2 linked regions of the Stegostoma tigrinum genome follow. The protein of the gene in region 2 interacts with the protein of the main gene of each other region in a pairwise test. Links are inferred from orthologs where the notes say so. Each region holds a gene or a part of one and is shown on either strand. Other genes may lie near its edges. The genes, in order: nrap and klhl41a.

Region 1 (8,698 bases), on a different chromosome or scaffold from region 2:
CAAGACTCAGCCCTGCAAGACTATCCTGAAAATTAGCTAATGACCATTCTCATGAACTCCTATCAACATTATGGCAGGAGTCCAACAGAATAGTCACAGATTCTTGGGGAAAAATATAATTAAATATTGATTTTGTTGCATATGACACTTAAGTTTTACAATACCTTCAGGCTGCTTACCTTACTTGCAAGTCTCCCAGCCTTACAGGCATGCTCCAGCTGCTTCGACTTTATATCCCAATGAAAAACTGATTTGAATTTTTCAGCTTCCTCGCGATACTTAATCTAAGTACAAAAGTTCAGTGGACATTTTATGATACTGGATTTTAAAACCGACTGTATCAGCACTTGGAAGATTTAAGCCATGGGTAATGCAGCTTGTGAATTTGTTACTTTTTTCCTTTATCTTTCCCACCTTTTTACTGAATGTTTCTTAATTGTTTTTCTTTTCCTGGTCAGCCTCTTCAAAGTTCGATATTTTCACATCAACAACAATCAAAAGCTTCTCGTCAACTTCTCATAGATTGGGTCCCCTCCTCAAGTAATACAGGAATCAAGTTGCATGCGTTAAGGTGAACCAGCATTACAGGGCTGAAAGCAAAAAGTGCTGAAGATCACAGTAGGTCAGGCAGCATCCATGGAGAGAAAGAACACTCACATTTTGAGTCTAGATGACTCTTCATCGGAGCCGAAGATGAAGAGTTATCTAGATTTGAAACATTAGCTTGCTTTCTCTCCATGGCCCAGTGTGGTCTCCAGCATCTTTTGTTTGCAGTACTGACTCCAGCATCTGCAGTAATTCGCTCCTACAGCTTTACAGGGTGACAGGCATTCAACACAGCTTCATCTTGTCCTTATTATCATCACAATAAGTACATCATGGTGTCCCAAGAGATTAAGTATGAAAGTTCACTCCAGACTCACGAAAGCAACAAGAAGCTGCAGATTGGCTAAATAAAGAACAGTTTAAAGTGTGAGATAATAAGAACTGCCGATGCCGGAGTCAGAGATGACAGTGTGAAGTTGGAAGAACACAGCAGGTCAGGCAGCATCAGAGCAACAGGAAAGTTAATGTTTCGGGTCGGTTCCCCTCTTCAGAAAAAAAACAACAAAGGGTTCCAACCCAAAACATCAACTTTCCTGCTCCTCTGATACTGCCTGACCTGCTGTGTTCCTCCAGCTCCACGCTGTGTTATCGCATAGTTTAAACTGTAGTGTTTAAGTTTCTTTGTAATTGCACAATATGTGCAGCTATCATAATATGCACACTTTTCTTTCTCTTTCTATGCAGTATCCTCATTGTCCAAGGGTTTCTAAATCGTGGTTCATGCTAGATGCCAATGGGTAAGGCAAGCCCTAAGAATGATCTCAGTTGCAAGTGAAGTTGAACCTACATTATATACCATTCACTGGCCATCCAGCCAACCAAGTTAACAAGCAAAACATGTTCAGTTACTGGTATCAATCAGAATGTATGTTGAATAGAATAACAGGTTTGATTTTTCTTTTGTTTTTAAAAGTTATCATGAATAAAACCTGGAAATTTAGGAACACAATAGGAGAATGGTTTATGCCTGTGGAATCCTTATATAAACTAAAAGCACAAATTCTCCATGCTACTGAAGTACAAATTCTACCAAAATATTGAATTCAACAAGGCAAGACTAAAATCAAAATAAAATGTTGGGATTTCAGAAGAAAAATAACTTGATAAATTTGATGATGGCGAAGTAAAGGGAGTAACTATCTCTGTCTTGCAAACATAACATTAACAGTACAAACATCCATCCATGTGCCTGACATGACAAGTTAAGACTTAAAAAGTCAGTTTGTATATCTTCAAGACTAGCTTATTAAGGGTCAGTTTAATCTAAAATGTTGCGGAAGTTGTGTTCAATAACTTTGGACCAATTTGTCACTCGTGATTAAAAGCAACAGAATATGGTGCAGTGCAGGGGAAATGGACGGCCAGCATTTAGAGGACTGTAATTTTAACCTCCACATGAAGTTGAAGCACAAGCAGCGAGGTGTCACAGTTGCTGTCCAGAAATAGATGTTGCTGTAACAGGCTTCATTCCAAAGCCTAGTTGTCACCAAGATTAAAAGAAAATATATCAAACACTCTGCAAAACATGTGAACCATATGAGATCTAGGTCATTTAATCATTAGTTATGGTTAAACAACTGCTTTATCAACTGAATTGAAGTGAAAGAAAAACATGTTGTACTTAGGGACAGGCTATTCAGTCTTTTAGTTATGCCCGGTGGTCTTGGATGATGTATTATGAGAATAATATGTACTGCTCCCATTTTTAGTGCCAGTTACCCACCTCACTGGACTCGCTTTGTTTTTTCACATTCAGGTTCAGGGGTGTATCTAGTACGCTGGTAAATTTGTTGACTTTAGGATTGTGCCTGCGAATTAAAGTAAACATTGCCACCAATTTACAATCAAAAAAAAATCAAATGAATTTTCTACTAATTTCACTCAGGTTGCTGCAGACAGATATCTTCAAACATACAGAGTGCTCCTACTATGAATAATTTTTACAAGTGTTGTCGTATAAATCTCTACATCTAAAATCAGACCAGTGACACTTACAGTGTTCACTGTAGAAACAGAAGAAATATTCAATAACCTTGCATTTTTCATTGTTCCATTTGAATATATTTAAGTGTAAATTAATATTGAGTCATAAAAGCCCTTTAGTACGATTGGTCCAACTAAGTTTTCATTAACTTTTAAAATGACTCACGCCTGACAGTATGGTTTCTTCTGGTGACTGATAAAATTGTTGACCGTTAAGATCATTTTGCAGACCTCACAGTGGAAACAGGACTTATGCCAGGTCTGTAGGTAACAAAATAAACACTTTATTAACCGGGCCAAACTTTCAATTTTAAACACATATCTGACATTCAAGGAAATTTCAGCATCACTCACCTGGTCTATGCAGACTATTTTCTCGGCAGGATAGACGCCAAAACCACAGCGAGCGCACGGTTTATTCATTTTCAAACAGTATTTTTGTTATTCAAAAGCAAGCCGCGATACGTTTCCTTTTTATTTCCTTCTCCGTGGTCTGTTTCTGAGCTGTGCTACTTGTGATCTCGCCTGGACTAGAACCTGCCACCAGCAGTCAGCCCCTTCATTTCAGGATTAATCAAGTCCCGCCTCCTCTCCTTGGCCATTGGATCCAGACACCTATTTCTAAGCTCTGAACTCCACAACTCCAGTCGACTTTGGTTACCAGGGCTGTCAATCACAAAGCTTGTATCAGGTTTAAGTTTGGAGGGTGACTGGTGTTTAATGCCTCAGTCCCAAAATAGCAATATTCCACTAAATATGTATTGATGTCAGCTATAAGGTAAAAGGGGACTGGCAACATTTTATCAATCTAGATCATCAACTTTCCAAAAGCAAATCAACACTTTGCAGCACAAAATAAAAGAACGAACTGAGGATGCTGGGAATCCGAAACAAAAACAGAAATTGCTGGAGAAACTCAGCTGGTCTGGCGGCATTCATGGGTAGAAAAGAGTTAACGATTCCAGTCTAGTGTCCTTCTTCAGAATATCGGATTTTCCTTGCAGCACAGTGTCTGTAACTGTGAATTTTCTGTTGGCAGTCCAAAATATTTTTTGCTGTTTAAAGCAACACAAACTGTTACGATGAACAGCTAAGGATCCTGGGATTGTATTCATTAGAGTTTAGAAGGTTGAGGGGAGATCTAATAGAAACTTACAAGATATTGTATGGCTTAGAAAGGGTGGACGCTGGGAAGTTGTTTCCGTTAAGGGGGGACTAGGACACGTGGGCACAGCCTTAGAATTAGGGGGGGTCGATTTAAATCGGAAATGGGGAGACATTTCTTCAGCCAGAGAGTGGTGGGCTTGTGGAATTCATTGCCACGGAACGCAAAGAAGGCCAGGACGTTAAATGTCTTTAGGGCGGAGACTGATAAATTCTTGATCTCACAAGGAATTAAGGGCTGGGGGGAGAGTGCAGGGAAGTGGAGTTGAAATGCCCATCAGCCATGATTAAATGGCGGGGTGGATTCTATGGGCTGAATGGCCTTACTTCCACTCCTATGTTTTATGGTCTTATGGTCTTATGTATTACACATTGTTGTTGTCATACACATCTTTAAAAATAAAGTGAGTGTACATCATAAACCGATTCCTTTATACAGCTATACATTTGGTTATCAAGTGGATGTTTTCACAAATGTACAATCCTGCATTGATGTTGTTACTGACAAGGTTATGAACACCACCACACATCTGCCTGGAATGTCATCTCCACAAAATCAGCCTCAAAACATCAGTAAAGGCAAAGATAACACAGTGTGGAGGTGGAGGAACACAGCAGGCCAGGCAGCATCAGAGGAACAGGAAAACTGACGTTTCGGGTCAGGACCCTCCCTCATTTTCTGAAAAAGGATCCCGACCCGAAACGTCAGCTTTCCTCTCCTCTGATGCGGCCTGGCCTGCTAAAGGAGGGTCCTGAAGCAAAACGTCAGTTTTCCTGCTCCTCTGATGCTGCCTGGCCTGCTGTGCCCATCCAGCTCCACACTGCGTTATCCACACTGACTCCAGCGTCAGCAGTTCTTACTATCTCTGAGTAAAGGCAAAGGGCTGAGAAAAGAAATAAAACTGGTCCCAACAACTCAATCCCTGACAGTATTCAGTTCTTAAAAAACTTTCCATTTATATTCTACAGTGATTTCATCACTGCCCTTAAACTTAACCTGATAACTGCTTTGTATGTTCAAGATTTCCATAACATTCAAGGCTATGGGCCTATTACAGGAAAGTGAGACTAGTGTAGTTGGTAGTATGTTTTTGGCAGTACAGATTTGATGGGCCAAAGGGCCTTTTCTGGACTATATGATGCCATGATTCTCCCATGTTAATACTTAGGCGATGGAACAGAAAGTCACATATCCAGATTTACTGTTGGCATAGGGATGGATGGCACTATAAAAATGTATTGAGAGTTAAGTGAATGAGAGAAACTGTGGCAAATGGATTTAAATGGATTTGAATGTAAGAGTTGTACAACATCTTCCTTTCTAAATGGTGAGAAATTAAAAATAATGGATGTTCATAGAAACTTGGGTGTCTAGGGTAAATAGATCATTAAAATACCTTGACAGGTGCCAGACTATAAACAAAAAGGCTAATGAATATTGATCTTTGTATCTAAATGATAAAACAGGGCAGAAGTCATGTTTCAGCTTTACAAAGCCGTGATTAGACCACATCTTGAGGAAAAGAACTGTTCTGGGTATTACATCTTAAAAAGTATATAGTGAATTGGAAGGAAATTGACCAAAATGATACCTGGGCTCCAAGCAGTAAATTACAACATAACAACATCCCTTGGAACCAAAAAGGTCAAAGGATGGTTTGTTCTACATTTTGAAATTCTGAAGGGGAACCGACAGAACAGATAAGGAAAAATCATTTTGCTGATTGGAGAGTATATGTCAAGGCAGAATAGTCAAACAATTAGTGCCAAAACTGAAAATAAAATATACTTTTACACATCAAGGGTGTTTAAAGCCACACAAACTGTATCATACATTGTTGTTTGTGTACATGTCTTTAAAAATAAAGTGAGTGTATATCGTAAATTCAAACATGTTTGGAGTATTTTCCTCCAAATAAAAATTATGCTGGTGACTTAATTAATTTTAAGTCTGAGATCTTTTTTCATCACCTAAAGGTGCTAAAGATCAGAGTTGCCCTGCTGATCAGCCATACCTTAATTAAATGCTGAAACAAACAGTCTCAAAGGCAGAAGAGACTCATCCTGATTCTATATGTTCCTAAGTGATTAATAAAGCTGCTATTTCACTTTAAAACACAAATGACATCAATAATCTATTCAAGATCTATGTTCATATTTTGTGGCATCAGTATAACTCTTTACTCACCAGCGGTCTATAGTGCTGCACATATGTCATTCTTAAATTCTTTCTCAAAGAACTAAAAGGAATGATTTTAGAAGTTGAATACATTTTAACTTCACCACTTATCACAGAGGCTAAAATAAATCTTGAATTAAAGTGTTAAGTATGATAAATCTGAGAATGTTTAGAATTATAAATTGAATAAAATCACCAGCTGTATTATCTCATCAACCTGTTAAGACCTGGAGTAGGTAGTACTTGAATCCAGGGTCTCCTGGTCCAGAGGTAGGGGCACTACAATGTACCACAAGAGCCCATTCACCAGTAAATACGCTATTTTTAATTCGAAATAGCGGATGGTAATTTAAACTCTGTGATCTAATTATGGAACTCAGCTGATGTCCATGGCTTTGATTTCATTGTCTGATGTCATCCAAACTCCTTAGTAAGTTACTGCCTTACATTTCATTGCCTTCCATCTATTTTTATATGTATATAGTTAAACTAACATTGCTGTACTTTTAAAATGATTGAATAATTAGGAAGATGACAAGATACACACAAATCAAGTTTACCTGATTGCTTGGCATGAACGTGTATGTTTCGACAGAATCTGCAGGATAGGACTTTAAAGATCAGCGTTGGAAAATTATAATATGGTGAATGGTGGTCATTCTAATGTTGTTATTAAAGATTCAGTTTTTTTCCAATGTGCTTTCAAAGGATTCTAATTAGTATAATTGTAGATGCACATTTCTTGGTGAGAGGTCAGTATGAGACCAGCAGAGACTGAATGACATCAGTGATTCTGCAACATCACTTCAGTGCTTAAGATGTGAGCAACTGACTTTCAAGCATCAATTTTGTGAATGGCAATGCAGATGAACCATCTGTTATTACTTATATTTTGAGGGTGAATGCACATTTTGGAAACTTGTAAATAGATAAAAGTTTTAGCAAAGACGATGTTAAGAAAGCACAATTGTTGCTCACAGATGCAACCACTTACCAACAGGTGACAATAGACCCAACACTGCAGCTCGTTAATAGGATCACCCAGACAGAGGAGACGAGAGGATGCAGGACAGATAACTAAGACAGACCACATGAGAATGAAACCAGAAGGCACAAATACTCCCCCACTTCTATGGGCGTCCTAAAGTACACCAACCAGATCCCCCACAGACCCATTGTTTCCGTATCAGACACATCTTCACACAAACCGGCCAGGGACCTACAGCAGACACTGAAACACCTAGCCGATGTTGGATCATCCTATTCTATCCATTCAATCCAAGAATTCCCTCAAGAACACAAAAATCAGCAACAAGAATGCGGTATCCTTTGATGTCACAGCTTTATTCACATCAATCAACATCCCACTAGCCAAAGAAATACTGGCCACATTATCACTGGAAGCAGGAACGCAGACCAGCAGTTCCATCAGCAAGGGCAACATACCCTCAAACTATTAGATCCATGCCTCACCACACACTTCGTCTTTAATGAGCAAGTACACAACCAGATCAGCATTACACCAATGGGGTCACCCATCTCTGCACTCACTGCAGAAGCAGTCATGCAAAGATTAGAAAACACAATCCTCCCCCACATTCAACCTAAACTGTGAATCCAGTACGTAGATGACACATTTGTCATTATTAAACACAACAAGTTAGAAGAGAACCATCACCTCATCAACAGGTATTCACAGGGATTAAATTCACAAGGGAACAAGAAAACAACAATCAACTTCCACTTCTGTTCGTCAAAGTTGAGCGCATGACCAATGGGGAATTCCAAACCTCGATACACAGAAAGGCAACCCATACTGATCAAATCCTCAACCTCCATAGCAACCACCCCAACTACCACAAATAAAGCTGTGTTAGGACACTACTTAAACAGGTCACGACACACTGCAACACTTCAGAACTGAGCAGCAAAGAGGAAGAGCACCTACAGATATGGTCAGATATCACTCCAACTTCATCTGCAGATGCCTACTAAATAGACAACAACAGGAGTGCACAGAACGCCCTAACACACTGGCCACACTGCCCTACATCAGGAAAATATCAGAACCGACAACAAGACTCCTAAGACCTCTCAGAATCATGATAACCCACAAGCCCACAGCCACTCTCAGGCAAACACTACGAGGATTAAAGACATCATTCTGACAACATGCAGAACCAATGTTGTTTTACAAAATACCATGCAACGACTGCCCACAAACATTACATCGAACAGATAGGAAGGAAGCTAGCCAGCCATCAGAATTCCTGAACATCAGCTAGCAGCAAAACGACACGACAAATTCTCCTTAATATCAGTACACTCAAACAATGAAGGCCATCAGTTTAACTGGGACAATGTAACCAAAGTAGCCCGAGCCAAACATACACTTGCGTGGGAATTCTTAGAGGCATGGTTCTGAGCCTGTAATGCTGATCAATAAACATATAGAATTGGACCCCATATACAAACCCACACAGATCAAAACTGGAAATGATAGTACTCACCACAACAGACCAGACGGTACAGATTCCCAGCAGAGTAGGAGAATATTGCTTTCATTAGAGACCTCAGTGATGATGTCATCTAGCATGGTGACGAAACGTCTGAATGAGAACAAGCCAGCTCGGCAATCAAGTCAACAAACTTGTAAATAAATTTTTTGGTTTGAAGCTTGAAGACAATAAACTAGTGGTTCAAAATTTCCAATGATACAAACCATTTTAAATGGGTGGGGGGTGGTGGAAGAAGGTGGTATTGTAT
Region 2 (8,071 bases):
TCTTTCACTCATAATTGCAGATTCCAGCAACTTAACTTTCTTAAATGTTAACAAAATCACATTTCCAGTATGTTTGATATTCTGTTTGATTATACTCACTTATTATTCATTATGTCATATGCTTCAACTGCAGCTGCCAGGCCGTCATCAGTGACTCCTCCAACAACCCAGATTCTGTTTTGATGGAGAGCAGCTCCAAACATGGCACGTGCTGTCTTCATAGCTCGCAGTTCCCTCCACTCAGATTTTTTGGGATTGTAGACAAACAATTTGTTGATGCATTTGCTGTGGTTAAATTAAAAATGATTGAGTAAATCAGTCATGACAGTCTAGAACTAATGCATAATATAGGAAATGTATGAATTACTTACGCGTCATCAGTCTTCCCGCCAATAACATAGATTAATCCATTATGTGAAACCACAGAGTGGCCATAAATCTTAAACGGGAATGCTTTGGATTCATTCCATTTTAGTTTGCTGAAAAAAAATGCATTTTTTTAAATTGTATTCATCATTCTTCAATGTTTACCTGTTTTAAAAATTACGTTTTTGTTCATGAATATGCTGAAAATTGCAGAAGGTGATTGCCTCAAATAATAGTGGAACGACACCTTTAAGTTTTAAAATAGCCTAAACAAGCCATTTCACAGTGCCATAAATACAAGGGCCGTACAAGTGTCATTTATCACTGACAATAATATTGCTGTCAATTGAAAAGACATTCTGCATACAATTGAGCAACGTGTATACATAAAATCAGATTTTTTTTTGGAAATGCACAGCAGGTTCTTGCAGCATTTGTGGAGAGGAAGCATTCATACAATTGTCCTGAGTGGTGGAAAATGAAAACTTGGAGCAACTTGTCTCTGGCTTTCCCAATATTGGAATTGAAATTAAATAACGTGAAATCTTTCGACACTACATTCGTTGAAAACTCACCTGAACTCAAAGCTAAACTCTAATGTGCAAGTCTAATAAAACAATGAACATTGGACACAGGGGATCTAAGTGTCTTGTTCAAAAACTGAACAACAGAGATGATATTGGGTCATCATTATCTGACGAATTTTCCTATTCTGATTCTAATCATGCTTTGTGAATGTCACATGACATACAAGTTACAATACTGAGATAACACGGTGTAGAGCTGGATGAACGCAGCAGGCCAAGCAGCATCAGAGGAGCAGGAAAGCGGAGACCTTAGGGTCTCGACCCGAAACGTTAGCTTTCCTGCTGCGATGCTGCTTGGCCTGCTGTGTTCATCCAGCTCTACATCTTGTTATCTCAGATTCTCCAGCATCGGCAGTTCCTACTATCCTTGCAACAAGTTACCATTGCAGTCTGTTCCCAGAACTGACTCAACCAATATGACGGTAGGTCTATTTAAATGAGCTAATGGAGGGTAAACTATTTTAGACGGGACCTATAATCTCATTGACAGTCCTTGTATTCTGACTGAATTTGATATGCTCACTGTTGGTATTAAATTATAACTGTAATGGCACTGAGTGGTATACTGTACAATATTTCTGTGAAAGCATGGTTCTGATTAACTATACTGGTTTGGAGCAGCATTTTGTTAGAAGTTGCTACAAAATAATTTAAAAATAACATTTTGTTAACATGCAAATAATCTGGATTTACTTACTTCATATCGTAGCAAAATACTGAATCCAATGACTGCTCGTTTGGAAGATCCTTGCCACCAATCACATAAAGAAAGTTTTCTGTTTCTCCCAGACCGAAGAGGCATCTAGCTGAAGGCAGCGGTGGCAAGCCATTCCATTCACTAGCGATACTGTCAAACTAAAGCGTCGGAAAAGCCAGTTTAATTGTGACCGATTCTCGATATATTTATATCAAACGTATTCAGAAATCCGATGAGATTTGATAGGAATTTGAGGTGGAGCACGCAATTCATAAAATTATCATATTTTGCACAATATCTATTTTTAAACAGCAGGGAAGAGACTACATTGAAATGGAAGTAGTTGCTTACATTTTTTAAATAAGTAAACTTGGAATGATTTTGAAAATTGGTGAACTAAATTAACAATTACAATCACGTTTTCTGAAACAAAGCTGAACATATTATATGATTTCACAGTTCGATAGATCTACGAGTACCTGATAGAAATAGCAGTGGTAGGGCTGTTCTTTAACTTCTTCATCCACGTACAACCCACCGACAACAAAAATTTGGTTTCCCTTTGTAACCAAACTAACATGGTTTTTGGGGATCTGATCACCCACTGCAACCAGAAAGCATTGATTTAGGTTTGGATCATATGCCACCGCCACTGTGTCATTAATTAACATGATCATTTCCTTGACGAACATGCCATGCCTGGGAATGTCATTCAGAAAACCAGGGAGCAGATCTTCGTCTCCTACATCGCCGTTAGCTAGATCTTCACCGCCTTCTCCTTTCTTTGCGCTCTTGTTACTACCTGCCTCAGGCTTGGGAAGTTTTCCTCCAAAAGCATCTTTAATCACCTGCACCTTCTTCAATAGATCTGGATTAGACTTAATAATGTCATTTTTTTCGACCTGGTCTTTGATATATTTCTCAGTCATGAGACGAAAACGAATGCAATCAAAGATTTCTCCTAAACTTTTGACCCTGGTCTCTTTGTCCTTCCGGACCCATCTTACTACAGCTTCAAATACAGTTTCTTCTTTCACCACGTTTAAAGCGTCATTCGCAATGATGCTGATAAGCTCATGAGAAGCCAGTTGCATAAAATCTTCATCATTACAGATTTGTTCAAAACGAGCGGACGCATATTCACGGGCAGCAACAGCAAGCCGGGGACAGTCCAGAAGGAGTCCTAGCCTGAATATCGCCAAACAGTTGCTAGTAGATAACTTTTCTTGAAGATAGGTGACACAGAGTGTGAAAACAGAGGGGATCTGAAAGCGGCTGGACGCAGCAAAAATATTTTGCACGTTCTCATCGGTCAGTTCTATCTCAGAGGAATACAGATACTTCAAGATCATATCCACGACACTTTCATCGACATCTTCCAAAACCACCTCACGTTTCTTTTCCTCACTTACATCTGAAAAGAAATACTCACGGAAGTAAGGGCTGCAAGCTGCCAGGATTAGTCGGTGGCAGGGAAATAATTTATTTCCCACCTTCAGGGAACAATCCACAAATTTGTTTTCATCCAGTAAATTTTTCAGTCCGTCCTGCAGCAGCGTGGTTTGGTACAGCCGAGATTCTTCCCTTGATTCTTTCCGAGGGTCCATGGTGAGGAAACTGCGAAGGCAGAGGGAGCGGGTAGCGTTCACTTTACTCGGGTTCGCCTGAAAAGGCAGAACGCAGTGGCTTGCCGCACTTGAAGAGTTTGTAATTTAACTCCACAGGCTAAATATAGAGACACCGTACATGCTGGAATCCAGGTTAACCAGTGTGGAATGTGGACCGCAATTTGGCAGCTGCTGCAGACGGAAAGAAACAACTGTGAAGGAAAAAAAAATTAACGTTTTGGGTCGGGTGACCCTTCCTCAGAACGGCAACTTAGTTTTTGTTCCTGATTTACAGCATCCACAGTTCTTTCGGATTTTATTTTTATGAAACAACCGTGACCAGCTTAGGAGTTAAACGGGATAGGCAATCACTATCGGGAGCGATTACTAAGGAAATTACATTTAGTTATTTTTATCATATTGAGACAGCGTCATGGCTAGTGTGTCTCACAGCTATGAATATCACAAATTACGGAATCAACCCTTCCACTAAATTCTCAAAGAGATTCTTCAAATCGCAACTCACTCATTCAGCTTCCACCATTTAATCACGTGTTTTTTTTGGGTTCTGATTCTATTTTTAAGAATTCCAAGGATCGATGTCAAAATTTTCAAAATAAATTTAATGGCACAATGTTATAGTCAAATTATGACTGCATTACAAGTTAGTACAACAGTATATAATCTCTCATACTGCCATTTTAAATCACACGTCTTCATATTATTTGCACATTTGAAGGGTATGATTTCGTTTTTATTATGGGTAGAATGGATTTCTTTGTCAAATATATCTATACTTCACAAATATTTCTTAAAAACAAAAGGTAATTGACGAATTTACATGAAATGGAAACAAAATCATTTCCCACAACCTATTTTGGAACTAAGAACTCACCTTGGGAATATTTTAAACTTTTATAAATCCCAAACCCACCTAAGAGACGTGATTAATTGCTCGAAAACTGTGCTTATGATTACCCTGTTTTTCCTCAAGTAACTTTCACAGTGGAGTCTTTTACAAACAAGGTCAACTGCTGAACAGGTGGTCATCATTTTGGCTCACGGCCGTTTTTAGATTTAACATTTGATCAACCTTATTCATAAACTGAACATTTGTCTCAATGTGACTCATTTCCCCCGCATACCATTATCTTAGTATCCTTAAAATTTAGCAACTGTATGATATAACTGTTATGAGAGTAAATATTTTATAATTTGGTGGTCAAGGGTATAGTTAGAAGATTGTTAATAATGGAAATGAATAATTTATTAAGTGCTATTAACTCAGTAGTTCAAATGGAATATGTCGTCTTTGGATCTTCCATATCATAGGAAAATACTGCAGATGCTGGAGAAACTCAGCAGGTCTGGTAGCATCTGTGAAAAGTGAATCAGACTTAACGTTTCAGGTCCGATGACTTCTTCGGAATCGAGTTCGGAATTGGTCTCTAAACCGTTCCTCTCTCCACGGATGCCGCCAGACATGCGGCTGTACTCTGTACTGAACAATGAGCTTCAAAGATTAATTTTCTTTTCCAAGTCATTGACCATCAATGATTCCCCTTCCATTAATGGTTCAGCCTAGTCTTGTTCTTCTGTACACTCTTCCAACCGACTCTTCATCTAATGTATCAGATCTGTCATGTTGTCAAGACAGCTTTTGCTACTCTCGTTTATTGCGTGACAGGAGTTTGGGTTATAGTCAGCAAAATGCAGAAATTTTTCACGTAACATTATCGTTGTATTCTTGAAACGTGCAATTTTTACATGAAACTAATACAAGTGAATCAGACTTTCTCGTTAAAGCCAAAGTAAAAGTTGCAGCTAATTTCTTAGGACCTTCACAATCATTAAAAAAAATTATACCCCTTTTGTTAAAATATTTTTCATTACTACGATCCTGCGTTGGTAAAAGAAATGTGGCACATTCTATTTACTTCCAGCTCATCACCAGTCTTGCTTCATGAACCTCAGACTTGCTAAACATCCCACTCACGTTCTGCTGCTCCCTTAGCCGGCCCTCTCACTCCAACCCACCAGACTGTTGGCCTCTGCCACTCTCTGATCCGCCTCACTTCCTCTTTGATCTTTATCATGGAAAATCCTATTCACCCGTTCTTTTTCGTGGATCCTTGCTACGAACGAGCGCTCTGGACGTGACCAGCGAGTGAGAGGAACAGCAGCTTCAACTGCATAAGTACCTTGGATATCTGCATTCCTCTGATTTTGACTCTACACTTAGCAATTTTCTTTGCTCCACTATTTACCGTACCTGCAATTGCATCGTCGGCATGCTTTTGAGATTCCACCTCCGCCAATTTTAAACCTCTTTATTCCCTCAAGGCGTTTATCACCTACCTCTTTTATCTATCCTAATATCTCTTAAGGTGCCCCAGTGACCTCAAACAACAAATTCTGTTTGAAAATCGAACTCTAAGGTGTCTTAGGGCGTCTTGCTACTAAGGAATTGAACTAAAAAATACTGTTTTTTCTCACTATTATTGAACGATGCTACATTTGATAATTGAACACCTAAAGATAACCTGGTTGTGATAAATCACATCATAGTCATATTAAAAAAATGCCTGACGTATGTCTCAGCAGATATGAAATTAATAAATACAAAAAGTGTGCAGATACATAAGATGTAAATAAACCAGTGGCATTTATTAGGATAGGGTGGATTTAGAAATCTTAAGTGCGCAGGAGGTAATTCATGGAGGAAGACTGACACTTACAAATACCACCTATAATCTGAAATTTTAATTTATATGTTGTTTTTTGCTTCTCAACAGAGGGTACATCAGTGCTCAGGAAAATAAAGTATTTCCAACTTTTCATATCAATAGCAACATTCCATATCCCTAATCAGGATTAACACGAGAAGCTTCATATTGAACATCTCTCTATTCCATTCCAATTCTGTGCCAGGAAAAGCATTTTTGGTTATGATATTTTGTCTAATTTCCACACTAGTTATTCCTCTTGCCTCAGAACATTTCCACTTGAAAATCTTTCAGGATTCAAATTCTTAACAAAAGGTCCACAATGCAAATGATCTTAATATAATATTGTGGGGGGGAGGGGTGACAGCCTCACGATATTATCGTGAGATTATTAATCCAGAAACTCAGCTAATGTTCTGGAGACCCAGGTTCAAATCCTCTCATGGCAGATGGTGGAATCTGGATTCAAAATAAAAAATGTGCAATTAAGAATCAACTGATGACCATGAAATCATTGTCAATTGTCGGAAAAACCCACATGATTCACTAATGTCCTTCAGGGAAGGAAATCTGCCATCCTCAACCAGCCTGGACTTCATAGGACTCCAAATCCACAACAATGTGGTTGACTTTCAACCACCCTCTGAAATGGCCTCGCAAGCCACTCCTTTCAAGAGCAGCAAGGGCCGGGCAATAAATGCTGGCCAATCAGCAACATTCACATCCCACGAGTGAATTAAAAACAAACTTCCCTTGCAGTTTCATCTCAAAAGGCCACACAAAAATTGTATTATCAAATCATTAGGCCTGAAATTATTCATTTATTTAAAAATGGGGAAAAATACGCTTTGTTATCTACTAATTCCAGAGAATCACGTGGCTTTGATGTGCCTATTTTAAGAATGCAATTTAATTGCCATGTTGTTAATATTGAAAAGAAAATCCTGATGCCATATCACTGGAACAGTGCAAAGGTGCATGAACCTTTTCAAAGGACAATCCTGCCAAAATATATTTGAGACATTAACACATGCTTTTTATACAAGGAACTTTTTTTTAGCAACAATGACATACTGATAGATGCAATATTGGCGTGGATACGTAAACAGTTTTTATGAACTTAGCATTCTCATAAAAGCCCAGTCACATCTCATCCAACAATATTTAATGTTTCTAAGATTTTATTTTACAGAATATGGAAGGTTTCTTCAATTAATTGATTGCTTAGGGTATGCACTCTTAAGTGGAGAGGGGATAGAGTATGGTGGTAAACAGCACATGCTCTGGAAAAATACAGAGCAACTTCTGAATTTCTCCATTATTCTGCGCATTTGCAGGCTCCCAAAGTTGCGGTACGTTTCACAGGAGTAATGATGGCAAATGCATGCAATTTAACCATGACCGCCACTACAAAATTCAAACTGATAAAAGGACTGTGCGGCAAGTTAGTGTCCCTTGGTTGAGGTTACTGAACTATCATTTAGTAAGAGAGCGAAATGTCATTATAGCTCTATTGCAGTGTATTTGTTTTTAAATTCAAATTTCATGTTAATGTTCAGAATGCAAATCTATAATTCAAATGATCAGATTTTTAAAAAAAAGTCTTGCATTGGTCCGTCCAATTATTGCCTGAATCAGATAAGGATTTCCTTCTATTAGTACTCCATTTCCAGTAAAATCTTTGGGCAGAGCACTTTTAGTATTAATCAGGGTTCTTTCGCATTAGCTAAAATCTAAATGAGTTTAAGCTTTAAAAGACAGCAGATATTGTGGTGTTGGCCTTAAAATATGGCATCTCCAAACTGGGTTGTTAAAGGTTGACTGTTAAGGGTTATTTGGACATGGCAATGAGCAATTGAAGAGTGGAATGTTACATGGAAAGCAAACCTAATGCAAAAACAGCCTGACCTAGACTGGGGCTTGGCCAACGCTCTTTTGTGTAGTTAACGCAGACACATTGAAATTGTTTCTCTACAGCAGAAAGCCTGGAAAGAATTAAGAAATGGCAATACAGCACATTACATTAGATTCAGAAAGGCATTAATATCGGAGCTTCAGCCACTCATTGGACTTTCACTAACTGACTGG

Evidence for each region.
Region 1: the proteins of klhl41a (region 2) and nrap interact in binary tests that used the Homo sapiens proteins (3 or more experiments, as listed by UniProt). The link is inferred for Stegostoma tigrinum from reciprocal best matches to the Homo sapiens genes KLHL41 and NRAP.

The regions. Positions count from the first base shown.
Region 1 is NC_081373.1:23,884,765-23,893,462, reverse strand, and holds the start of nrap (nebulin-related-anchoring protein), read right to left. Parts: upstream 3,136-8,698; 5' UTR 3,013-3,135; coding exon 2,944-3,012; intron 2,851-2,943; coding exon 2,756-2,850; intron 2,415-2,755; coding exon 2,330-2,414; intron 285-2,329; coding exon 180-284; intron 1-179. UniProt on the Homo sapiens protein: May be involved in anchoring the terminal actin filaments in the myofibril to the membrane and in transmitting tension from the myofibrils to the extracellular matrix.
Region 2 is NC_081360.1:50,273,009-50,281,079, reverse strand, and holds the start of klhl41a (kelch-like protein 41a), read right to left. Parts: upstream 3,388-8,071; 5' UTR 3,258-3,387; coding exon 2,130-3,257; intron 1,809-2,129; coding exon 1,651-1,808; intron 480-1,650; coding exon 372-479; intron 286-371; coding exon 100-285; intron 1-99. UniProt on the Homo sapiens protein: Involved in skeletal muscle development and differentiation. Regulates proliferation and differentiation of myoblasts and plays a role in myofibril assembly by promoting lateral fusion of adjacent thin fibrils into mature, wide myofibrils.